2 linked regions of the Arabidopsis thaliana genome follow. The protein of the gene in region 2 interacts with the protein of the main gene of each other region in a biochemical or structural test. Each region holds a gene or a part of one and is shown on either strand. Other genes may lie near its edges. The genes, in order: TUB7 and AT1G49580.

What was found.
Region 1: of the proteins of AT1G49580 (region 2) and TUB7, one has a biochemical effect on the other in vitro, tested with the Arabidopsis thaliana proteins (one study listed by BioGRID).

Annotation. Positions count from the first base shown.
Region 1 is NC_003071.7:12,643,277-12,647,910, reverse strand, and holds TUB7 (tubulin beta-7 chain), read left to right. Parts: upstream 1-1,853; 5' UTR 1,854-1,978; coding exon 1,979-2,372; intron 2,373-2,557; coding exon 2,558-2,827; intron 2,828-2,967; coding exon 2,968-3,653; 3' UTR 3,654-3,994; downstream 3,995-4,634. Other genes in the region: ENOC (cytosolic enolase), read right to left, coding at 1-15, 116-196, 319-435, 517-588, 671-845, 931-1,085, 1,172-1,276; RPC14 (RNApolymerase 14 kDa subunit), read right to left, coding at 4,083-4,273, 4,395-4,623. UniProt on the Arabidopsis thaliana protein: Tubulin is the major constituent of microtubules, a cylinder consisting of laterally associated linear protofilaments composed of alpha- and beta-tubulin heterodimers.
Region 2 is NC_003070.9:18,349,632-18,355,369, reverse strand, and holds AT1G49580 (Calcium-dependent protein kinase (CDPK) family protein), read right to left. Parts: upstream 4,047-5,738; 5' UTR 3,760-4,046; coding exon 3,196-3,759; intron 3,095-3,195; coding exon 2,964-3,094; intron 2,833-2,963; coding exon 2,791-2,832; intron 2,700-2,790; coding exon 2,591-2,699; intron 2,508-2,590; coding exon 2,429-2,507; intron 2,331-2,428; coding exon 2,034-2,330; intron 1,936-2,033; coding exon 1,820-1,935; intron 1,739-1,819; coding exon 1,631-1,738; intron 1,527-1,630; coding exon 1,464-1,526; intron 1,381-1,463; coding exon 1,213-1,380; intron 1,130-1,212; coding exon 986-1,129; 3' UTR 736-985; downstream 1-735. Other genes in the region: AT1G49590 (C2H2 and C2HC zinc fingers superfamily protein), read right to left, coding at 56-256, 365-373. UniProt on the Arabidopsis thaliana protein: May play a role in signal transduction pathways that involve calcium as a second messenger.

The sequences.
Region 1 (4,634 bases), on a different chromosome or scaffold from region 2:
TTCTGAAATGACAGCCTGCCATAAACAGCAATAGATCATTCTCACCTTATACACAAATTTACGGATGCAATTAGAAAGGTAACTTCTAGAAAGCCATATATCTTTGAAAATTGACCTTTAAATGATGATATGTCTCAGATCCCCATTGCAGGGCCTCCTCAAATCTACTTGCTCCAATTGGGAGAATCATAATTTCCTAAACAAATTATGAAAACACAACAATCATTACATATGTAAATGAAATTACTTGAAAACCAAAAGATTTCTTGAAGAACTTTGAGAAACAGAAACGTTAATAGTGAACTTAATGTAGAATACCTGAATGGCAAAAGTATTCGAAGCATGCTTCCCACCACTCAAAACAGTGAACGCAGGTACAGGTAACACCATGTTTGCTCTGCCACTAAGATCAGAAAGATGCTTGCACAAAGGGACCTGATAATAACTTCAATCAAAATCTCCTAACTAAAGTAGGCATAAAATACATAGGATAAGAGAAAATGTTATCATTCATACCTCTTTCTCAGCAGCTCCAGCCTTGCATGCCGCAATTGACACAGCAAGTATAGCATTAGCACCAAGTTCACTCTGCAAGATATTCAAATCAAATTAATCATGAGGAGCAATGATATATGAACTTGTTACAATCCTAATAAAAGTTCCCACCTACCTTCTTTTCAGTTTTATCCAAATCTATCATAGCCTGATCTATCTGACCCTGAAGTTTTGGGTCCATACCAATCAACGCCTCAGAAATTTTTTCATTTATGTTCTTAACAGCTTTAGCCACACTGTTTCCAAGATACATTCCTTTGTCTCCATCACGTAGCTCAATAGCTTCATACCTTGAGAATCAGTAAACCAATCTCCTCATGTCAGGCTTATCATATTAGAGAATTGTATATCAATCAGAGTAAGAATAATTCTCACGTTCCAGAAGAATCACCACTGGGAACAGAAGCACGAAAAACGCCTTTGTTCGTGTGCAGATCAACTTCAACTGTTGGAATTCCTCTGCTGTCAAGGATCTGTCGTGCTTTAACCTTCGTTATCACAGATGATACAGCTTTCTTCAGATGATTAGCCTGCACTTTTCCAATTGAAGATTCAATGAGTAATGTAACATAATTTCACTTCGATACATGTAAATCAAAATTCGAAGGAAACTTACGATGAAGAGAACGGGATCTGAGGTTTTAGCCCTTACGGCGGCATTAACGGCGTCTTCGATTTTCCGAGAAAGCATATGCTTGTCTAAATACTCTTGCACAGACATCTTCTTCTTCTTCCTCTTCCACGGACTTCTCGATTCGAATCTTCAAGCAAAATTTCGATGAACAAGTTTGAATCTGAAATTCATTTTCCGATTGACTGTATTTTTTGGTTCACGCTCCGGTTCAGGCTCCGGTTCAGGATCCAATAAGCATATTCAATCATTAAAACGATGAGTTTCACTTTACAAACACATGCTTGCCGTCTGAGGATTTTGCTAGTGCACATCACTCCGTTTTAAGTCATGCAGATTTGAAATGAAAAGAGTAAAAGCCCATTTTAGGCCCAATAAGAAGTCTCTCACGTGCGATTGCCAGGTTGGAACCGCTTTTTTATCTCTCATAAAGCACGTGCGAGTGCGACGATGTTTTAGTAACTGCTCTCCTTAATGGAATCCAGCTGTCATTCACACGAACATATTTTTTTACGAAATTCAAAAAAACTTTTTATCACGAGCCATTAATTTTTGAATTTTGCCACCCGTTGCCACCTCGATTTACGTGGCATTATCTAAACCGTCGATTCGATTTCGAATTACCAAATATTAGCCGTTAAAACCTCCTTTTCTTTATAAATGGACCCTCCTCTTCTTCTCTCTCTCATAAAACAAAAGATCCTCTCTGCTTCTCCTTTCCCTTTTTCAAAATCTCTCTCTCTCTCTCTCTTTTTAGATCCAGTTTTAGGGTTTTCTTCTCTGTGAGCGAAGATGCGTGAGATTCTTCATATTCAAGGAGGTCAATGCGGAAACCAAATCGGTTCCAAGTTTTGGGAAGTGGTTAATCTCGAGCACGGGATTGATCAGACGGGACGGTATGTAGGAGATTCCGAGTTACAGCTTGAGAGGGTTAATGTATACTACAACGAGGCGAGTTGTGGAAGGTACGTTCCTCGCGCTGTTCTCATGGATTTGGAGCCTGGAACCATGGACAGTGTCAGATCTGGTCCGTACGGTCAGATCTTTCGACCGGATAACTTCGTCTTCGGTCAGTCCGGTGCTGGGAATAACTGGGCTAAAGGTCACTACACTGAAGGTGCTGAGCTTATTGATTCGGTCCTTGATGTTGTTCGCAAAGAGGCTGAGAACTGTGACTGCCTTCAAGGTATTTGAAATCCGTCTTCCTTATTTAGGTTTTTGTCTATTTAGGTTTTTGGATCTGTAAATTTAGGTTGGGTATTGGTAGTGTATGATTGTTTTTAGGTTTAGATTTCTGATTTTGAACTGTGGAATACGGATTCGGTTTTGTATTCGTTGTTTGCTTATGGTTTTGGTTGTTTGGATTTACAGGATTTCAGGTGTGCCATTCCTTGGGAGGAGGAACTGGTTCTGGAATGGGAACTTTGTTGATATCTAAGATCAGGGAGGAGTACCCAGACCGTATGATGATGACTTTCTCTGTGTTCCCATCGCCTAAGGTGTCTGACACTGTTGTGGAGCCTTACAACGCAACACTATCTGTGCACCAGCTTGTTGAGAACGCTGATGAGTGTATGGTTCTTGACAACGAAGCTTTGTATGACATTTGCTTCCGTACACTCAAGCTTAGCACTCCAAGTTGTAAGTATTCCAATGTTCTTCGATTATGAGTCAATGTTGTTACTGTATCTGTCTCTGTGGTTTATTGTTTCAGGCTTAGTTATTGATTAGTATTGAAACTTCACTCACATATTTTTTTGTTTGTTTTCTGAATTGTGCAGTTGGTGATCTGAACCACTTGATCTCTGCAACCATGTCTGGTGTAACCTGCTGTCTTAGGTTCCCTGGTCAACTGAACTCTGATCTGCGAAAGCTAGCTGTGAATCTGATCCCATTCCCTCGTCTCCACTTCTTCATGGTGGGATTTGCTCCTCTCACCTCTCGTGGATCTCAGCAGTACCGTAACCTCACTGTCCCAGAGCTCACTCAGCAAATGTGGGATGCTAAGAACATGATGTGTGCTGCTGACCCAAGACACGGTCGCTACCTCACTGCTTCAGCCATGTTCCGTGGAAAGATGAGCACCAAGGAGGTCGATGAACAGATGCTGAACGTACAGAACAAGAACTCCTCCTACTTTGTGGAATGGATCCCTAACAACGTCAAATCAACCGTCTGTGACATTCCCCCTACTGGTCTGAAGATGGCTTCAACGTTCATTGGTAACTCAACTTCGATCCAAGAGATGTTCAGGCGTGTCAGTGAGCAATTCACTGCTATGTTCAGGAGAAAGGCTTTCTTGCATTGGTACACAGGTGAAGGTATGGATGAGATGGAGTTCACTGAAGCTGAAAGCAACATGAACGATCTTGTCTCTGAGTATCAGCAGTATCAAGATGCAACGGCTGATGAAGAAGGAGAATATGAAGAGGAAGAAGCTGAGTACGAGCAAGAAGAAACTTATTGAAGAAACAGATGATAAGAACACCTCAACTTCCAGTTGCTGTTTACTTTTAAAACTCTCTTCTATTAAGTTCTTATAGTTTCTGTAACTATCGCTTGCGTTATTAGTAGTTATGATACTCTGCGTAGGCTAAGAGGATTTATCAATCAATATTCAAACAATCTATTTTGCTAAATCAAAATCCATCCATAGTATTTTTTTTCTTTGTTTCATTATATAACCTTTTGTTAATTTTGACTATGTGAATTCGGTGAAGACTTCACCATCTTTCAAATATAAGAAGCAGAGTAGTAGTGACAATGGTTATAAGCAATATAAGAATCTTCTTGGTTAAATTTTGGTGTGGATTATGAATTTGACGAGTCAATTTGAAGGACGAATCTGGATTTAAGATAAAAATAGTATAAACTCCATAGGAGAATACAATGGTTATCAGTTGTTTTCAATGTCCATGGACCCAAATAGATCCCTCTGCCTCTTAAGCTCTTCTTCTTCAGCCTCCTCCTTACGCTTTTGTTCATCCTTATACTCAGCAACAGCCTTATCAAAAACGCTTCTCACATGTCTGTTCATTTGCATGAGCTCTTGACATGCATCTTTAAAAACCTCTCTTGCTGGATCACCTAAAAGCCACAGAGCCAACACGTTTTATGTTGTTAGACACACAGACAAAGAACTCGGATAAGAGTTATCCAAAAAGAACATAGCTTAACTCTGATGAACAGAGTTTTTGAAAAACAGTACCTGTTGTCTGGACCCGGATATTGACCTGTTCAAGGGAAGGATGTGGGATGGTGTATGCAGCCACGGTTACTCTGGGACTGCAGAATTGAAAACAGTACTGGTTATTGACATAATCATCATTGTCTACACACCAGCATATCAACTCCATCAACCTCAAAGATAAGATAATGTGACATTCATTGAATACAATGAGAATCTCTAACAACATAACATGAATGTAAACCAACATTTAATCGAACT
Region 2 (5,738 bases):
AATAAATACGTTAGAATAAGTATCACTGGCAAAAGAAACAAGAATGATTACTCACAGCTTCGATCTGTTGAAGCAGTTTTTCGTTTTTCTTGAGCTCTTTGTCTTTGGCTGCACTCCTCTCACGCATATCAGTGAGCTTCTTATCAACACATTCTCGGTGACGCTTACCAAGGTCATGGTTTCTAATACTTGTTGGATTGTTCTGTATCCATATCTTACAGAATTCACACCATTTGTTCCCTTGACTTACCCAATACTGAAATAACACAAAAAACAAACTCAAGATCAATTTCAATTACGAAACAAGACAGAGGTTTCGTAATTCAAAGAGATTTGGAGAGAAAAGATGCGAATTTTGATTTACCTCAGTCATGGCTGTGGATCAAGGAGATGAAGATTGAATCGAAAATTAAACCCAGAAAACGAAGTTACCGGAACTATAAGATCAACTTTTAATCAGAATCAAGAACTAAGTGAAGAAAAATCTCGAGAGAAAGAGAGAGAGATTAGAAACCCTAATTCCTTAAACTCGAATCCCAAACTCGAGAGGAGAAGCAAAATATAAAATTGGGGGAGAAGAAAATCGGTTTGGTTTGTTTTCTAAATTCTAATTTATTTCCATCACTAGAACCGGTTTTCACTGGTTACACCGACTCAGATCTCACAAATTAAAGCACAGTAACAAACCGGAAATAACCAAGATTTCGCTGATTCCATAATCATTGGGAAGAAAGAGAGACAAAAATCAAATCTTTTTGGAATTTTCTTTTTCATTTTCTTGACTTCACATAGAGTATCAAAGTATCTGTGGTTACTATATTATTACAACAATCTTTTTTTTAGAATTGCTCTTGTAAGAAACTTTTCATTTGTTGTACAGTCTTTGACCAACTATTACATTTCCAATACCAATCCAAGATTTAGAGTAAAGGTTTTGACATCTTCTTTTACGATTTCGCTTAGGTCATGTTTGTTTTCGTTATCTTCACCGGGTAGTTTTCCCCGAGGCTCGAACAGAGACTCCATGTAACAGTTTAACAAACCCGAAGAAGCTAAGCTTTCCATCAGTGTGTCTGATCCAATCATGTAGAACTGAATGTACCGGTATAGATGGTCCAACACCAAGTTCCTGCAATTCAAAAGCATGTCGTTTTAGAGGATCTGTTTTTCGATATTTTTGTATTTAAGCTGAAGACAGATGCTTTAACTTACAGAGGCAAGTTCTTCGATGACAATAGCTCGGTTTCCATTCTTGTCGAAAAGCTCATAAGCATGTCGAATGCTCTGTTCCCAACAATCAAGCGACTCGTGCTGATGAACGTTTATAGCAGCTGCACAAAACTCTTCAAAATCCATTCCTCTGTATTGAAGTCCATTTAGCTGTAAAAAGCCAGTCAATGAAGGATCATTAACACCAAATTGTTAAAGCATTTATCAAAATCCGAGAGAACACAGTCATTTACCAAAGCAAGAAACTCTGGGATCCGAGATTCTTTCATTGCTTCTGTTGCATTGCTTGCAAGTGCCTGTTTAAACAGAAACAAAAAATGCAATACAGATTAGATTACTACGGTGTTTCTCTTTTTTTCTCAAGAGGAAGGAATATAAAAGAAGTTATAGTGTCACAAACCATTCTAATGGTATCCATTGTGATTAGGCCATCTTTGTTTGGTGCGAGAAGAGAAAATTGAGTTTTCAGGTAAAGAATTTCATCCTTGATTAACGTCTTCGATAGCGCCTGTGAAAAGAAAGCACATAATAGTGAGAAAGTAATCTTCAATGCTCTTTTCGACACTTTAAAAGAATGCCTAAAACATACCCTCAAAGCAGCTTTGCGTAATGAAGAAGATCGCAAGTACGCCTTCATCTGCCTAAAGATCAAGATATCGAAAGGGATATTCATGTCCGTATTATAAGCTCGGATCCAAGGATGCACTGAAAAAAGTAAATAGGAACTGAATTTGGTGATTTATGACTACCAAAAGACAGGAGACATAAAACTATAAAGAGCTGTGAAATTAAAAATGACTGACTCAAGGCTTGGGAGGCTGACATTCTTCGCCGGGGATCCTTAAACAATAACCGCTTAACAAAGTCTTTAGCGTCAGAAGACAAGAAGGGCCAAGGAGGTTCATCGAAACTCGGGTCAGCTTTAAGAACAGCTCTAAAAATTCCGGATTCAGTTCTTGCCCAAAACGGACGGCTACCACATAGTAGAATGTATGCTATGACTCCGATGCTCCACACATCCGCTTCTGTTGTATATGATCTGTGTAGAACTTCGGGAGCTACATAGTATGCACTTCCCACTATATCGTTTAGTCTCTCATCTTTCAAAAAAAGGGGCACAAAATACCATTTTTAGTTTACTAACCAGAAGAAAAAGAACTGGAGAAATAGTGACATAGTAAAATGTGTGATGATGAACCTGGTCTGACAAAGTCTGATAAGCCAAAGTCTATCGCTTTAAGCTGAGAATTCTCCTCCTTGGAAGTGTACAAGAAGTTCTGATGATGAAGCAGCGATCAGAAAACATTCTACACATAAAAGTAAAACATAATCTTCTTTCCAGTTCAAAATTGTGCCTCACCTCTGGTTTAAGGTCTCGATGAACAACTCCTTGGAAATGACAGAAAGCTACCACATTCAGAATTTGTATAATCACTGGTTTTGCGTCATTCTCTGAGTATTTCCCTCCCCTGTAGAAAAAAACGATGAATCTTTTTATAAAATAAGAACAATCTCTGGCCATAAGTATCGATAACTCTTTAGTAGCACACAGACACACACCTTGCTAGTATTCTGTCAAGAAGCTCACCACCTTCACATAGCCTGCAAATTCAAACTACTTAAATCCAATTATGAAACAATAGGTTCTTTTTACCAAATTCATAACTAAAACCTAACTAAATTCAACATCAAACAAGGAAATGGTTAAGGTTATGATAAAATAATGATCTTACTCCATTGCAATGTAGACGTTTGCATTGTCCTCAAATGCATCATAGAATTGTACCAGATTCTTATGTCCAGATAAAGCCTGTAGAATTTTCACTTCCCTTCTCACATCTTCTATAGCAATTGCAGTTGTCATCTGCCAAAAAAGAATCAAAACACATTCAATTCTATCAGCTAACACTACAATGGAGAGTATGCAATCATCAAGATCAAGAAACTAAACTCAAGTTTTGTTACCTTCGATTTTGGGATGATTTTGACAGCAACCACTTGACCTTTGAGCTCTCCTTTCTTGAACTTAGCAGAGCAAGTGTACCCAAAATGTCCTCGTCCAATTTCTTCCCCTAACTCTACTCTACTGTGAAACTCTTTAGAAAAACCAAATCTTTTGTCAAGCCCTACTTCCTCTTCCTCCTCACGCTGCGGTACCTCCGTCGTTAGCTGCGTCACCCCAGATAAAGCAGCTTCCTTTTTCCCTTTCCTCCGCCGTAGCGCCGCCCGTATGTGTTTCGCCGGAGACGGAGGGTGAAACGCACGGCGTAATTGACGGAGAGGCGTGCTAGTCAAACTCTTGCTCTCTCCTCCTCCGCCGACGTCGCGGCTCTTATTGCGGCGGTGGCGAGCAGGGCTCGGCGTGTAAAAGGGGAAGAAAGGAGAGGCCTTTGCGGCGGAAGGAGTAGGAATTGGTGATTTACCGGGATGGTCAGGGGCAAAATCGTCAATTTGAGGATAGTCATTACCGGGAGCGAAAGGGTTAGGTCTGCCGGAGGAAGTGGAGGGTTTGGAAGTACAGCCTCCCATAATCTCCGGCGAAAAAAAGGAGCTTACTTTATGAGGAAAATCACAGTAATGCCATCGAAGTTTTGGCTTTTAGAGAAGAAAGAGAGAGCGAGAGAGATCACATGAGAAAGAGAGCGAGAGAGAGAGAGAGAGAGGAGCAGGGGAAGTGAAACTGTTAGAATTGAATTTTGAATCTGAAAATGGTGGTAGAAAGAAGAAGGAAGAAGAAGACGAAGCAAGTAGATGTGTGCATTGGTTAGTAAATTAGTTGCTTCCGGCCACGTATTAATGACCTTAATTTATTGCAGTCTTTTAAATATATTTCCGATCTGTTATGTTTGTCATTCATGTCCCATATTTTATTTTTGTTATATTTTTTAAATGAGGTCATTTTTTCAACGGTTGTGAGATCATTTTTTTTTTGTACAAGTTTGTGTAAATTGAATTTAATGAAGTAACAGAACCTTTACAAAATTTAAATAAAGAAAATTATAGCTGCTGTAAAAAAAATAGAGTATGTATATATAGTTGACAGTTGGTGGGTACAATTAAGGATAATTAAGTACATGTAACCTTCTAGTTGTAAAAAATACTCCTATGTTTTATCATGAAAATTATTGAATACATGTCTACATATATATTTATGTAAGAAATAATTTTGTATAGATTTGGAATTAAAAAATATCATAATGAATTGTAGTTTTTAGCCTAGTAATTAGGTTCTAACCAATATATACTTTATTTTATTTATATGCTTCTAGAGTTTACAAGTTTCTTTCGTAAAAGTTTTTTGCAAAAAATATGTTACCACAAAGAAGAAGAAATATCTGTTTTATTTACGAATATCTTTGATAGAAAAAATAAATCAAATTCATTTTTTTTTTCTTGAAAGTTTGGAACAAACAAAAATTGACATACTAAATAACTAAGAGTCAACTAACGACAATCCCCAAACTATGTTTGCATAATGTTTTAAAGGTGAGAAGTGTCAGAATCTGAGAAGGAGTGAATTATGTGGTGAATCTTTACGTCGATTAGACGTCAATAATGTGGTATGCTTGAGTCTGTGTTCGTTCATTCCTTTCCTGTTATATTCGGTCAACTGGAAGTTTGGAAAGATAGTTGAAGAAGAATGTATTTGATATTATCAAAAGAAGAAGCCGTTAGAAAATGAGTGTTATGCCAATCTCAATCGAGAGAGTTCAAAGAATAAGTTATCTTATGTCTCGTTTAGTTATGCAAAAAGAAGACAAGTTTGAGTGTGACTCTAACCACACATTTGATCACTTGAGCTAGTTCATCGTGAAACACCAACCGTCCATGTGTTGAAATTCTCTTTGAAACTCCTTGCGAGAACCAGCCAACTCGACTCTATGGTACCACCAAATCATAAGATTGACAAACTTGGCTCCACGTATATATAGAAAGAGGAGTAGGTTGGTTTGAAATTGTGCAAGGCATGACATCAGAGATAAACATCTTGGTCAGCATCTTCTTTTGAGATCAGAATAACTAGCATTCAAAATTGTCTTGACATTAAATTGAAAATTATCCAAACGTTATATGAAAACACATCAACGAGACAATGACGAATGCTCCAAGAGGTATGCCCCAAATTTGCGGTCGTCTCGGACATGTAACGTTAATTAATTATTACTTATCATATTAGACAAAAAAATCTTTACTGTGTTTTTACTAATGTTATTAACACGAATATTAAGAAATAACCAGCTATAAAAGAAGAAAAAATAAGGTTCATTAACTAATTTTCACACATATACGTTTCGCTTAAAACTAAACCTCGAGTTGTTATATGTATATATTTTAAATAAAAAATTAATCTCATTTGTGGAATAGATAATGTTTAGTTTATTTGCATGAATTATATGATATTTCTCTATTGGCTGTTTGTGTTTTGCATTTAACATGATGGTGTACGTAACCTAACTACTATTTTGTATTTAGACTATATATGTATAATAGATTAAAATAGCTTATAG